Styela clava: one gene and its partner. The protein of the gene in region 2 purifies or fractionates together with the protein of the main gene of each other region. This does not show direct contact. Links are inferred from orthologs where the notes say so. Each region holds a gene or a part of one and is shown on either strand. Other genes may lie near its edges.

Region 1 (7,428 bases), on a different chromosome or scaffold from region 2:
TTGGCTAGATTCCTATCTCACAAGGAAATGAAAGAAGCACTCAATACCAGAAATCCTAACACATTACAACAACATTTGAATTAATGAAAGCAATACTCCTGAATATTGGTATTTAACCTCATCATACGATTTTGAGCGAGCTAAATCATTTACTTTTAAAGCAAAATTATATTTGACAGGAGTTTATAGTTTTGATCAAACAGTAAACATATACACTCATGATTCTCATGACCATATCTACCTGTAATAATCAAAACATGATGATGATGCTCTTCCAACTTGTTTATCCATATTTTTAAACGCTTGATTCCGGAAACCAGTCCTTTGGTGTTCTTTGCCCATTCCATATTTACTCCTTAATTCTTCAAAATATAAGTTTTCCGCAACGTCTCGACTGGCTTGTAGTTCGAATCTTTCTTGCTCTTGTAACTCTAGAATGGAGATATATTATTAGAGTATCAAAGTGTAGAAGTGGTGTTACAATGAGGTTTATTTTGATAGCACAAAACAAAAATGTAGATCGGAGTAAACTCATTTGGAGTAAGCCCATTTGAGCAAGAGTGATGACAGTCGCTATACTATTGATCTTATTTAAATGAGTTTTTGTTAAAGTTTGTGTGATTCGGGACTAAATAATTTTTATGAGATGCTTCACACCAGAGAAGAAAAGACATGAACATAGGAATCCATTAGATTAGGAAAAAACATACTTCATAAATTTAACATCTAATACCGCAATCATTGCATCTGAACCTAGGTTGGCCAGGACCCAGACTAGCAAACCAAGCAGTAATAAGAAGTGAAGATACATATAAGAAACTTTGTGAGCCAGAAATAAATTATAGCAGAGAATTTTATCTGTAGACGCATCTTAAAAATTTACTTATTAGTTACTACATAAACAACTTTTCAAATAGGCGAGATAACTTTGATACATTGAATTCTTTGCAATATAGTAACTTAATATACAAATCATACTTATAGCCAACAGCTCATCTTGTGTGTAATCAGATTTTACTGACATATGTCCCTGTTCATTGTCAATAAAATGAGACTCTGTATGAAAAGTTAGTTTGTCAACATTGTCAAATCCAGTTAATTGACAAACAGGACAACTTAATACTTCTGATTGAGATGAATCAACATTGTTACTACATTCTCCATTAACCTCACTCCCTGATGATGCTCCACACTCATCTGCAACAGATAGGATTTTGTAACACTATACTATATTTAAGCTTTAATTATCTAATATCCTGACTAAGGGGCTTTCAGTAATTATTGATAGGCCTATGAATGATTACGCCAGTGTTTTTCGAGCTTTTATGATCTGTGGCCGCCATTCAATGTATCTTTAACACTTGTGGCCCCCTGATCTTTTCAAAAAAGACATATTTTTGCTTCTTATGCGTTTCTGTTAGTTAGTTTATGCAACACATTCAATAATGAAAGGCCAACTAAAGTAAGAAAAATCCTATTACAATCAACAATTTAGGCAAATCTCTGTCAATTTACTGTGAATAAATGTAGTCACTGCTAATAGTACCTTTAGTCATGTCCTCCAGAAAACCAATTCATGGATCACTAGGGGAGGCTTAGGACCCAGTTTGAGAAACTTCATACTCTGTTTAGGTAACTTAACCAGAATTTACATTTGATATTCAAAGAGTATGTTAATAAATAAATCAAACTAATGATCAGACCTTTCGCACCTTCAGATTTTGCTTTAATAAATTAAAGTGGATACCTTTCTTTGGTGTACGCATTTCCTCCTTGTGAACATCCATTACATGGGTTTCCATCTTGTTTTCATCTTTATTGGAAACCACGTATGTACAAAATGGACATTTTGATTTGTCAATATCATTTTCCCTATTGCAAGTTGCATGATCCAATTCAATGTGCTTTGTCATTTCATCTTCAGAAAAATATCTCTGGCCACATATTAAACATGAATCACACCAACTTTCATCCATGATTTTGAACAGAAGAGTATTGAGTAAACATTTGGTGGGACAGAACTTATATTCAGTATATTACTAATCAGTAAACTAATCAAGTAATCACTGAATCATAAACACAAAGAATTATTCACCATTGCCGAATGTAGGCTTACTTGTCAATTAAAAAACACATTTGTATATGCACTGCATACAGCACATCATTAAAAACATGATGTTCAGATTCTTAACAATATTATTTTTCAATTTCGAAAACAGTACCAGAATAAGAAACCCTACGCAACATTGTATTTCAATTCCATGTATGAGTGTTCAATTAGCAATGTAAAATAGAATGTGCAACAGAAATTACACACTTAAATATGTAAATACAGAAATCAGGAAATGGCAAATTTTCAAAGTTCACCAACAGCAATACAGATCTAAAGCACTGATGGAAAAGTCCCAAAGGAATCGCTGAAAGTACACTATGACTATAGAATCAATCTTGCTCGAAATGCAAAATTAGCCTTTAGGACAATTTGAAAGCTACAGCATGATAAATACGTCTGTCTACACAGTATATCATATCATAATATAGTGAATTAAAAATACAGTTAATTGGTGGAATTTGTACAAAATGATGCCATAATGACAGTATATATGCAACATCAAACGAATATTTTGAATTAATGGTTTGTTCTGAGAACTTCTGACACTATTTCGTTCATTGGCTTATTGAGGAAGCGTCTTTGACAAATACAGGTGATTCCCCATCATTTTCTGGTACGAAGGAGTGTATGGAGTCACGAGTTGACAATATTAACGTCAAAATCTCTCATCCGGTTACCATTCCACGTCGTGAATGGGATTAGTTAGATAGCAGACTATATTTTTTTCAGATGCATGGAACCGATGGTGGAGAATGCTGTAACCGACAAGCGTTTATGTGACGGCGAGGAATCCAGCGGTTCTTTCACCACAGAGAGTCAGCATTGTCCCACACGATATTCGAACATGCGAACCACGCGGGGTAATCAGTGCGGTGGCAAGCGTGTCCCTAACCTGCTTTTGTTCGGTAATCGAAAAGTTTTGAATAGTTACCCATAAATTACCATACATTTATGCTGCCGACACACACACACACTGTTTTGCTAAATTCCCGTCCTTAATCTTGTTTGTATGTTTACGAGAAAAATCGCCATTTCTTAATTCCTGCTTACTTTCTGTTGCGTAGTGTCCATTGCCTGTTTAGTTTACTATGTGCTCGGCCTTGGTGATTACCGACAACGTTGAATAAATAAAAGAGTTTGATTTGAAAATTCCATAATCAAAAAATGGAGAATTCTGCAAAATGGGCAAAACCTTTATAAACACAAACCTGGTTAATTAAACTGTAGCGAATGTGCATTGTGTAACTATGAATTATAATGTATTTAACCCTTTCATTTTAATAGTGTGTTCCGTTTCCCACAATAGGTCATTTATTGTAGCAACACTGAGTACTGATTACATGTACTGCCTTTCTCGTATCGACCAATTTGATGACGTATCGTCCCGGCTTGCCGAGAGGGCTGCATAATATTGTGTTTGGATTCACTTCTGTTTTTACTGCGTTAGGTGTGATGTGTTTTGATCCACTTCTGTTTTTACTTCGTTAGGTGTGATGTGTTTTGATCCACTTCTGTTTTACTGCGTTAGGTGTGATGTGTTTGGATTCACTTCTGTTTTATTGCGTTACGTGTGATGTGTTCTGATTCACTTCTGTTTTATTGCGTTAAGTGTGATGTGTTTTGATTCACTCCTGATTTACTGTGTTAAGAGTTAAGTGTGTCTCAATTTTATCTGTTTCGGAATTTGGATTGTGCATCTTCCTATAATATACAACAACGATTAGCATCAACACTGTGCGCTTATTATCGTCTGAAGGAGTCCAGATTGGAGTCATATTCCATAACGCGTGTCAAAACAATAACGCGGGAATCGAACTTAAATATATAGGGTGATAGTCAATATCCCCAAAATCCATCTCATCTCTTTCTCCCTATAAAACCAGGCTTGGGTAAGAAAAATACACAAATGTATTGAACTTTCGGGCTGTTATACTTTTAAAACACTTAAGTTGATAATGACCAATTCAATCTGATATTGCCTTACTTTAATTGTCCTGGAAGGATTAAAAAAAACGGAAATTCCCATTCCCTTTTGAAACATTCTCCGCGATTACGCGGATTATTATTGTATTTAGTTTTGATACTTATTTTTGCGAATTCTTTATCGCCGTTAAAAAAATCTCAAGATCTGTGAGAAAATCCCATAGAGTACAATTAAATACATATAAAGTATATCAGTATATCAAAAATACATATTCATCGCCTCGAAATCCCCGCGGAACGACTTTTTCGACGGATAATTATGATTTTTCTGTTGTGCAAAGTAATCAATCCATAACCGACAGGGACATTGCCTTCAATTTAACCTGCGATTGCGTCGACAAAATGGAAGTATGATTACTCTAAAATACCACGGCAATCCGCGGACATGAAAATGTGTGGTAAACTGCCCGGTTATATATATCTAGTTTTGAATTTTGATAAATATTATTATACTCAGATTATTTTAAAAATAAAACCGTTAGAAAAATCTCTAAGTCTTCTATAAAATCTCATGGAGTAAAATTTATTTTAGTACAATAAAAATTGATTGAATATACTTTAATTAATTATCTTATAATAATATATATCATCACAACTTGGGAAAATATCAAAAAGAAGAAAGAGGTTCGAGTCTTAATACCAAAGTAAACAATGACAGCAAGAATATCTTTTAAAAAAAATTGTGTGTCTGCATGTATGAATAATTGTCCATTCCTCACTTGTAATAGCAATGGACTTTACGGAATTACTTTACTCAAAATTTGGCATTGGAAAACTAAATAATCACATAAAATCTGGAATGTATGAAGATATAATTAAAATAGAACACTTATTCATATTTGTTGATTTTTAATATTCTCGACAATTAACTTAGATTTCCAAGTTGTAAGTGAAGTTTTTTGAAAACATTGCATGAAATGTAGTAAACACAGAACATAATAAAAAATAACTGTTTGTTTATATAAGTATAAAGTATTGAACTACAGCATATCACATCTATGAAACCCCAGTGTTTCTATATTCAAAATATATGTGATATATATTAGTGAATTAATCGTTTGCAACGATATATATGACTAGTTCAGTCTGCGTCATCTATATCTGTTCATAGAAGCATAAATGATGCAATAAATCCCTCATATTTATTTTTAATGTTTTAAGACTATTTGGCAGGCTGCTAAAATATCCTAATCCATCAAATTTATAATGGTTGTCAATGTCAATGGAACTGGCACAAATTCCTGACTTGTGACGCTATGGTCGGAAGACTTCCATTTGTTTCTGAATTCATGTGAGTTAAGTTTTAAAGCTTGAGTTAAAAACATGTTTCCATCTGTAAAACTTTCAGACATTGGAGAGAGAGAGAGGGGACCAATTCCATCATCAACTGTAGTTGACGTACAACAATCTGTAAAGATCAAATCCTCGGTAAGTTCAGATCCTCTGGTTGGTGTAGCAGCTTCTTTAATAGTTTCATATCTATAGCAACTGATACATAACAAAGGCAGAGTGTGTATTTGCATTAAAAAAAATTGTATAATCTTCGATTTGATAACAAGGGAGCTATGCTCAAATACGTGAACACTGAATGTAGAACTAAATATTTTATCACCAATTCCCCAAAAATCATATGCGGTAACTGTATCAGGGTAACGGTACAGGGACTGTCATAGCTTTTCCAGATCCTGTGACGATGATCCATTCTCCATGATTCAGTTTCAACGTGAATTGAAATAGGCGCTGATCCGAGTCATTTCGTGTTACCAGATCAGGTACCGCAGTACACAGTTCGCGATAAAAAAACCTCCCACTTTAGAGGTCCTAAGATTGCCCCGATATTCGGATATATGAAACAAGAACAACAAGATGATGGAATGATAAAAAAAAAGATCCATATAACCACTTGACGAGAGGCACAACATTTTTTTTTTGCGAAGCGATTAGGGGTGTGAGTACGTTGTTGAAAATTGAGTAATTTTCCAATAAAAGTTAAGCTCTTTGATGTAGTTATTTGACAGTGGTGTCTATGTCTAGGAGCATTGCTCTCTTGTTTTTATCCATCTCAGTTAATGATTGGTGCTGTAACCTGAATTCGATCGTTAAAATAAAATAAAGCGTAAACATATGAACATGCCCTTTATTGGTTTTGTACACGGACTGACCTAAACCCAACAAAACGTTGAACAAACACTGTTTTATACCAATTTTCATTATTTGTTATATATTTACGTTCGAGTTGCTATTTGCAATGTGTGTCATTTTAACGACAAATGTTCAGAATAGTTCCCATAAATGCACAGTAATACGAGATGTATTCAAAACTGGTGGATATATATATATATGAATATAGATACAAATGAGTCATATAGGGAAATGTAGAATAGTAGCATCATGCGACATATAATGAAAATATGATTTGAAGCATAGAACTGTTTTACAATTTCGTTAAAATCAATAAACTTTAGTTCAGGTAGATATAAAACCCACGTGCTAGTTCAAGGTGTCCATATCGAAATAGTTTGATAATCTAGAATTTTCATAAGGTCAATTTCGCAAAACACTATGTCCGTTTGTGTAACGGTTAATAAAAATAATGATTTCGTGATGATGATAAAGTCATTAAACATAAAATAAATACCCTTCGTGGTTTTATACAAAATGAAATTCTCAGTTTGCAACGAATTATTCCATAAAATGATGTCTATAATGATTGATAAAACAGCTAGAAAAACGAACTAAAACATGGTAAATTTTATTGCATTATTATTGCAATTTCCGGCATTATTATCAAGACATACCAACAGTGAAGAACAGATAGTTTGGAGTTGACAGACTGAAATCTACGAGTAAATATGGAGGTACAGGGCACAGAATGTTAGAATCGACTCTTCGTTCCACATACGAATATGCATTGTTGTGAGATACTTTACGTTGAATCTGGTACAATAACACTGATCAATGTGCGCAAATTTGCAGAATTCATAATGTAAAACGACTTGATCTGGTGTTTTATCAGACGATCATTAATAGATTTCACTTTGGGAACTTATTTTCTACACTTTATTCGAAGTAAAAAGACAGACATTCATGCGCATATATGTTAACAAATATTAAAACAGAGCATTATCATACTGTACAGAGCTAACATACTATTTGATACAGCGGTGACAGTTATGCATAGACAAACATTTACAATAATAACTTGACAGACATTATACAGAACATAATATGGCCCAAGCATGAAATGGGATATCGAAGTATAATATTTCATTTAATATGACGGTTCATACTGAGCACGCGGAAGAGGAAATGGCAAAATATGCCAACAAAGA
Region 2 (7,978 bases):
GTTTGTTTATCATATTCATTAATGCACAACGAAAAATATTACAAGACCAAATACAACATAAGCATGCTTGAAAAGACAAGTTATACTCAGAAATGTGGAGTAAATTACAACATTACAGCAAAAGATGGAATGGCATAATTGAATATTTTCTATCTTGAATGAATTTTAATCAAGTATTTCGAAGTCAGCAGTAATGTAACCTAAGGTAATGTAATTTGTCAGAAGTTTACAAAAATATATTTGGAACTGGAAGTCCACGGAAAGTAATTTCTATTCTAGAGCAGTGGCTCTCAAACTTTTTAAACCGTGCCACCTTTTTGAAATTTGTCAAGTCTTGCGCCCCCCCCCCCTCCCCCTACCAACAATAAATAGCTAACAATAAACTACATATACATATTACTTTTACTGTCTATGCTGCCCTTGTGGGGCGCGCCCCACTGTTTGCAAAACACTGTTCTAGGAGACTAGTATTTGAGTACAGATTTCTCTATATTATTCTTGTTTTTCAAGTTCACTAATACATACCTGGCCAACTTCCAAATCTTCCAGGAAGAATCCGTTCCCATCATGTGTGAGAGAAGCTATATCTGATGTTGATAATGGAACTATATTTTGTGAACGAAATTTCTGAAATAAAGTTGATAATAATATGAAGCGAAGGCAATAAGAAAAAGGTTTCTTGATGGTACACTAAATTGATTTTTTGGAATGATCTTTGAGAATAAACTATTGAAGAAAAAAATCATTTCAGAAAGTCATAATCTAGAATAATAAATCCTTTGCAATCCAGGGATGATTATCTGTTTGCCAAACAATCTTTAGCAATTCTTCAGAATGTAGAAAAATCAATTTATCAAATCCAGTCAATTTTTAAAATGATTCTCGAGAAAAAAGATGAATGTTGAAAAATAAAATTTCAGTTTAAAAACCAGGATTCAGATTAATAATAACTTCTGTTAATTCTCAACAGTTACTTGAAAATATCAAAATATCATGTGGATATTTTAAAATGATCTAGAATAAATATTGGTTCCAAAACATTTTACAAAATCAGCACTCTAAATAATAATTTATTCGCAATCACAAAATGTTCATCCATTTCAGCACGTTTGCAAGAAAATCATTAACAAATCTTGACAACACAACTTCAAAATCAAAACATTTGTCATGATTGCTCTTACCTTGGTTTTATCTCCTCCAGCTGATGGTGATGAGAATCCACCTTGCTGAAATCCTCCTCCTCCCATTCCATCACCGTATCCCCCTCCACCTCCGCCGAATCCTGAAAACATAAAATTTGAGGAAATTAAATTATGACATATTTATCCTGCTTTGCTAATTTTAGATGGTAACCTTATTAATAATGGCAACATCATTACCACCCAATCACTTATCAAAAATTTAAATTTTCATTCTATGTATATTAAGTTGTATGGGTTTCTTGTTTGACAGTTTGAAGAACAAGTAAATTACAGCATTATCTCTCTGTGCAGCTGTGCACCAGTCTGTATTCCATAGATTTTTTTTCACTAGAAATGGAGCATGCAATTAGAAATTCTCAAATCAGATTTCCTGGCGTGCGGTTAGAGATCGCTGCATGCAAAACGACTGAGCCCGCGTGCAACTGATTATTACTTAAGATACTCTTCTTAAAATTCGTGTAAAATTATTGGATTAAAAATACGTTGAATCAGTCACAAAACAGTTAACCATTACGGTATCAAATATGTATTTTGAGAATGTTTTTGCAATTTGGTGGTTAAACACTCATTTAAATTTTAATAACGGTTATTTCGTCTGCTTACATGCATTTTTGCGAAGCACTAGCGTACTCGGGCGTGCACCTGACATGAAATCCAGTCCGCTGGTCTGGGATTGGCCAACAAGTCCACTGCCTGACTGTGTAGTCTAGGGTGGCTTACCCACTTTGCGGCCACGACCTATTTGCGACCGTCAACTTCATCGATTAAATTAATGCCGAAAAAATTAACAAACCGCGACGATATTTTTCACGCGTTATCGTCCACTTATTCTTCGTAGCTCTGCGAAATTACACTAAAATGCAGCCACAAACAAAAAAGTTTCGACCGAAAACACAACCGAGGAAAAAAAAACGGACCATTTTTCCATGTCGCCAACTACCCATTGTCCCTTTAAAAAAGCTTAAAAATTCATACAAATATAAGAGATAAAAAGATGAAACTTGGCAGGTAGAGTTGTGTTTCTTTCAACCATCTTTAAAGTTTAGCGTTTCTACATTTAAAGGAGGGGGAATAGGGGGTGCGCATTTCCAATACGTCGATAATCCTAGCCAATGTCGATCGATTTGCGACCACCGTGTTTTTGTCTGTTTGATTGCTGTGATGTGGTGCTTTGTTTATAATTTGAAGAGTTTTGTTCGAAATAACCGTGTTCTTAAAATATATGACGGTCAGAAATGCAATTAGGAGCCCATTTTTTCACGCATGGCTGCGTATGCCCTAGTCTCGGCGCAGCAGAAACGATGTTCAAGGCTTGAAATCCGTGTTCGCACACTGGTCGTTCGGTCGCAAATAAGTCTTCAGAGTGTTGTACTTTGGTGGTTTGTATAGCTTTAACCCCTGGTCGTAGAAAGTTTAGCGTGTAGAGGAAATGCCAATGCACCTACGGTGAAACAAATTAAAGGGGTTAGAAATAATGGTTTTTGTTTTGTAGCGGTTTGAATGAAATCGTCCGCAGACTGGCTACACCACCCTACTACCAGTAAAAATATAGGCTCAGAAATATTAGCCTATGTCAGTATGTTTTCAAATTTTCTTGTCAAAACTCCAAAATCTGAAAATTAGAGAACAAAACGAGGATGCTTACCACCACCCCCTCCAAACATTTCTCTATTTGGTCTTCACTGTCGGGTTGAGCGAACAAGCATGAACAGCTGAACGAACCAAGCAATATACGGTAATCCGGTTATCCAACGGTTTGCTCCTAAAGGTCAGAAACGTTACGGTACGTTACCCCAATTCGTGAATCATCAGACCAACACTTCTCTTTCTAATATTCCCTCCAGGTTTTCGCGGGCTCGCACTCTAGCTCCCTCCCGTGTGAAATATAGTTGGACTTCCCATGTTGGACAAATATCTTTCCAAGATGAATTGACTTAATAGTATATATACTCCATAATATATGACAATGAAGTTAACGTCAAATGCTAAATAAAGTGATGGGTACGGTATTTTCTATCGGTAGATAAAATGGTACGAATAGTTTGCGGTTGTAGGCAGTGGTGGGATTCTGCCGGTTCGCACCGATTCTATTGAACCGTCTCACGAAATTTTATGAGATCAGCGAACCGGTTAGCAACACTGGTTACTGTCAATGCAGAGCCAATGACTCTGGTCAATGTTCTGTTTGTAACAGAACCGGCTGAAAAATATGACTTTTGTGAAGAAACCGGCTGACAAAAAATTTGAATCTCACCACTGGTCGTAGGGTAATGACGACTATGGGGACGTTCTAACATTTTTGGCATTTTAAATATCATTTCCAGGAGTTTTTATGTGGCATTAAATTATTCTAAATAACACGAACGTTGTGTCAAGCGTTAAAAACATGCTGGTCATGAGCTCTTAGACCTCAGGGTACCCTGCTCACTGGTAGATTCCGCACTAGGTCTCGTTTATAACTTGTAAGATCATGTTCTAAAATATAACCAATTTAAAATTTTATATCAGTCAGAAACGGGTAAATTACGGCCCACTTGTGTCTGCTGAAATTACGACTATAATTTTTATGAAAATAAATTTCCGTTGAAATAACGTCATAATGACCCCGATTGTTACATTGTGCTTTATATTACTATGCAAATGTTTGCCTGACTGTTGGATTAACTGTTGTAAATAAAGAGTTTTTTAATCATGGTTTTTCATATTGAGTTCCGAGCCTCCGGCCAAGTCTATTATCTGTAACTGGCCCACTCAGCAAAGTAATTACCCACCCTTGAATAACTACTACAGTTTTTGTTTAATTTTTCATTCAGGTTCATAATTCTCGACCAAAATACATATCGTTCAAAAAATTAAATACGGCCGAATACATGAAGTTATCCTAATTTGAAAAATTCCACCCCTTTAACTTCATTTTGTGAAATGGTAATAAACTATCGATATATAGCTATAGGCTACTAATTTATCCAGGCAACAGCCAATCTGATAATTAATATATTTTTACTATTTCAGAGCTGTTTTTATCGTAGGTCAGTTTATTTTAAAAAAATAGATTTCAAATAAAAATGAGAAAAAATTTACTATTCAATCTACTTAGGTGATTAGCGTACGTATCTTGCGTGTAATTACAATTTCGTATTCATTCCAAGCTATTTAAAAATTTTACAGGGTCGTGGAAGGTCCATTACAACATCTAGATTCTCTACGACGTTGGTGTCATATAGCCTATGTGCCTCACAATGCTTTATTTACCATGGAAGGTAAAATTTTTATTCACTCAAATTGAAACAAAAACTTAAGCTAATAATAAAAGGAAAACACTTGGTCTAACGTCATTCCAATACTTGTATGGGAGTGCATTTTTAGTATGAATTGCATAGAAACACAAACAATAAATTCGAAATTTTGCTATTCTATTGCATGTACATAGAAGCCTATTGACGCACTAGTATGAATGTTAGAAAATTCCAGAAAAGTGTACAACAACCCTTTCAATGATATGTTTAAAAACAAAATTGAAAATTTGTCTGCAATAGTTAGGACTTGGTTTTAAAATAAGCAGATACGTACGTGTTTATAGCAAAATATAGGTTATTTCCGGTAGTGGGATTCAATTTTTTTTGTTAGGCGGTTCCATCACAAAAGTCATATTTTTCAACGGGTTCTGTTACAAAAAGTCATGGACAGTAGCCAGTAATGCTGACCGGTTCGCTGATCTCATACAGTTGGGACGGTTCTATAGAACGAGTGCGAACCGGCTGAATCCCACCACTGGTTATTTCCATTTTCAACTAACGGGAATGCTTGGTTTTAATTTTTTTTTCACACTACGTCATCAAACAACAAACGTCTTGTTAAACCTACCCAGTAAAATGTGAGAATGAATATACGACGAGAATGAATGAAATTTTGTAAAAAAAAAAAAATATATAAGATGTCAAACACACATCATAAACTGAATATTACAGACATATAGCATGTGGTTGAAATCAGGCTTTTTACGATTGAACTTGTAGATTTTTAGCATTATATAATCATGCACTCACGAAATATATATATATACAGAAGGTTTTGAAGCAACAGTATTGAATATTCTATTATTATATATACTTTATGAACATTTCATAATCCTAGATTGAAGTTTAAAGCAAGGATAACGTCGGATTTTCAATATAGAACCTAGACTTCAGGATTGTTTGAAAAAGCTATCCAAACGAAAGAAGCCCTACATGGGAACGACAGTCTATGCTATTTTGTTATACTTTCGTGAAAGAAAAAATATGAAAGTATCACAATAATACTGAACCCAATGAATTTCAATATAAGCTATTATCCGTATTCACAAGACTGAGTTGAACTTATTCAAAAATAAATTTGCAATATATATATTTGATTTTTTAATAACGCATTGAAATACAAGTAGGAGAATATCAAAACAGAAATACCTCTAGTAGTCACAGGTACCTTAGTTTGCGGCACTATATAAATTCCCACTACTTTATTTCCATCGCCCCCAACACCTGGGAACGTTGGGTGAGGGACCCAGGCCAAGAAACGAAATAGCGAAAAGAAATGAAGAAATATAGGGGTTTTAGTTGCATAAAATGAGTAATTAATTTAAACTATTAATTCTTATTAATGAATCTCAAATATTTCAATGCACATTCGGACCTTTACAACATCAGAGTATTTTTAATATTGGTGCGCATTGTGAAATAGAATGTATTTGATTAGGGCTTAGGCAAACGAATTCACTTTAAATTGAGCAAGCAGCTTCACATAAACGACAGAATTGCCAGATTTTTGTTTATTGTATATACCAGATTGTGTAAGCCGAGAATCGTCAAGGCCGGACATGAGTAAGCTGCGGCAATATTACGCTGTTTACTGTTTTGATGATGCCTCATATTTCAGTTCATTGTGAAGAGAATGAAATTCCCCCGACCGAATCCTAGCAGACGCATTTGAAAGACGAAAACGTAGGCGTTACGGATACAATATTTTACGCAATTTCCAGAGGTGGGTTTCGAAACGTAAATAACATTTTTTGAATAGTTTTTATTCTTACTATACACAGTTCAACAGGAGCATTATATGACGGAGTAGGCCATTTCGTTCTTTCGGTAGTCGTTGGAATCTATATAAAAACAGTAGTGGTACACATAATAAATTTGGTAACTACTTGTTTCTACCGCGCAAAGTCAGAGTTTCGAGGTGTATTTGTATATAAATGATTTTATCAGAAGATTTTTCTTTTCTATTTATTATCTTGTCTTAAGAAAGATTGCAATATCATCACATTTAGTTTTGTTTAGTTTAATCCACACGATATTATATGTTCATTCTATGTCTGAAGTGTGAAATGTCTGATAACTTAATTGTACTTTAGCAACTGTTCGCAAATTTGCATATATATATGTTTGCTCTTGACCAAGTCTTTGGATTCTGATCTCAGATAAATTTCAATAGACGGTTTAAAATAAATAACAAATAACAATATTAAAATATTCTGAAATCCATATCATGTGTTTTAAAAATACCATTGAGTATGTTAGCCTTCTAGGATGTAAGGAATAAGTTTTAGACTCAAATGTGCGATTAGATGAAAGCCGATTGATAAAATGCTAAACTGTTTATTAGCGTATTATCGGCTGGCTTACATAATTCAACTCTATTGAAATGAAAATCCAGAACTTTTGTGCTCAGGCGAATGGCCAAAAAAGGACAGTCCTACCGAAAGAAAATAGTGAGGTATTAGGGATGGTATTACCAGTGAAAGAACTTTCGTTAACACTCTAAATTGTCCGGTTATTCGGGTAAACGATAGTCGGAGCGACGGCAAAAACAATGCTGAACGAAATTGTCCTTTTTGGGGGGGTTGCCTGGCCTTTCATTAGTGTTATGTTAAATTAAAGACTTCAGACCATAAACAACGATGAGTGTATCTAAAACAGTTGTACAATAAAAACGTTAAAAATGTTTATTTCTGAAAATTTTTATTTCAAATTCAGATGTAGTCAGAGCATGTAATATATTTACAGGTTGACTGAGCTATATTGAAAATGAATTTCATAGGAATGTTACCCGTTATTATCGCAACAATTTCAGCCACACTATGTTCCGCAGAAGGTGAGAAATTATTTAATTTTTAAAATCAATTGTGATGCTTATATAGAGGAGGGCAATGCACAAATATACGTATAACGAAATCGCTGGTTAAACTCATCGAAGTCTGTGGGTAGGGAATTTTGCACGATGGCGTAAATTTTCTCCATACAGCAAAGTTTAGAACAGCTGTCCCCGAAAAAACAACACAGAAAAAACTTTCTAGAGGTCTGTTTATTGATATATTTTGTCGCTTGATGATTTATAACGATAGAACAATGCTCAAATATATGGGCTTGAAGATATCTATCAGTGTTTTCATAAATTAAGTTATATATAACAGCAAAAGCATGGGTTAATTCCTCTGAAAATAAAAAAATGAAAAATTAAGTCTTCCCACATCATTCATACAGTCATACAGTTATGCATTTTAAATCAATTTTTCACAACAACAACAAGGACAACGCCAACAACAGCAACAATTCAGCACAAAGATAATCATATTTTGTCCCTTGCCCAATATTCTATGACAAAATGAAACTGAAAATTAAAAGTAATTATTTTGATTTAGAACCGTGGCGGACAAGATGTGTCGGCGATTTTGAGTTGAAATTCTTCAAACATAACGACAATACGACACTTCAAAAAACTTACCACAAAGCAAAAGTCTT

Evidence for each region. Proteins that work in one complex are often made in the same cells at the same time.
Region 1: the proteins of replication protein A 32 kDa subunit-A-like (region 2) and zinc finger-containing ubiquitin peptidase 1-like purify together in Homo sapiens (affinity purification with western blotting; 3 studies listed by BioGRID, with this or other methods). This does not show direct contact. The link is inferred for Styela clava from reciprocal best matches to the Homo sapiens genes RPA2 and ZUP1.

The regions. Positions count from the first base shown.
Region 1 is NC_135251.1:18,600,340-18,607,767, reverse strand, and holds the start of zinc finger-containing ubiquitin peptidase 1-like, read right to left. Parts: upstream 3,101-7,428; 5' UTR 1,977-3,100; coding exon 1,748-1,976; intron 1,198-1,747; coding exon 979-1,197; intron 432-978; coding exon 242-431; intron 1-241. UniProt on the Homo sapiens protein: Deubiquitinase with endodeubiquitinase activity that specifically interacts with and cleaves 'Lys-63'-linked long polyubiquitin chains. Shows only weak activity against 'Lys-11' and 'Lys-48'-linked chains.
Region 2 is NC_135250.1:25,184,230-25,192,207, reverse strand, and holds the start of replication protein A 32 kDa subunit-A-like, read right to left. Parts: upstream 3,037-7,978; 5' UTR 2,867-3,036; coding exon 2,848-2,866; intron 1,283-2,847; coding exon 1,182-1,282; intron 628-1,181; coding exon 526-627; intron 1-525. Other genes in the region: uncharacterized protein LOC120335106, read left to right, coding at 7,265-7,331, 7,879-7,978. UniProt on the Homo sapiens protein: As part of the heterotrimeric replication protein A complex (RPA/RP-A), binds and stabilizes single-stranded DNA intermediates that form during DNA replication or upon DNA stress.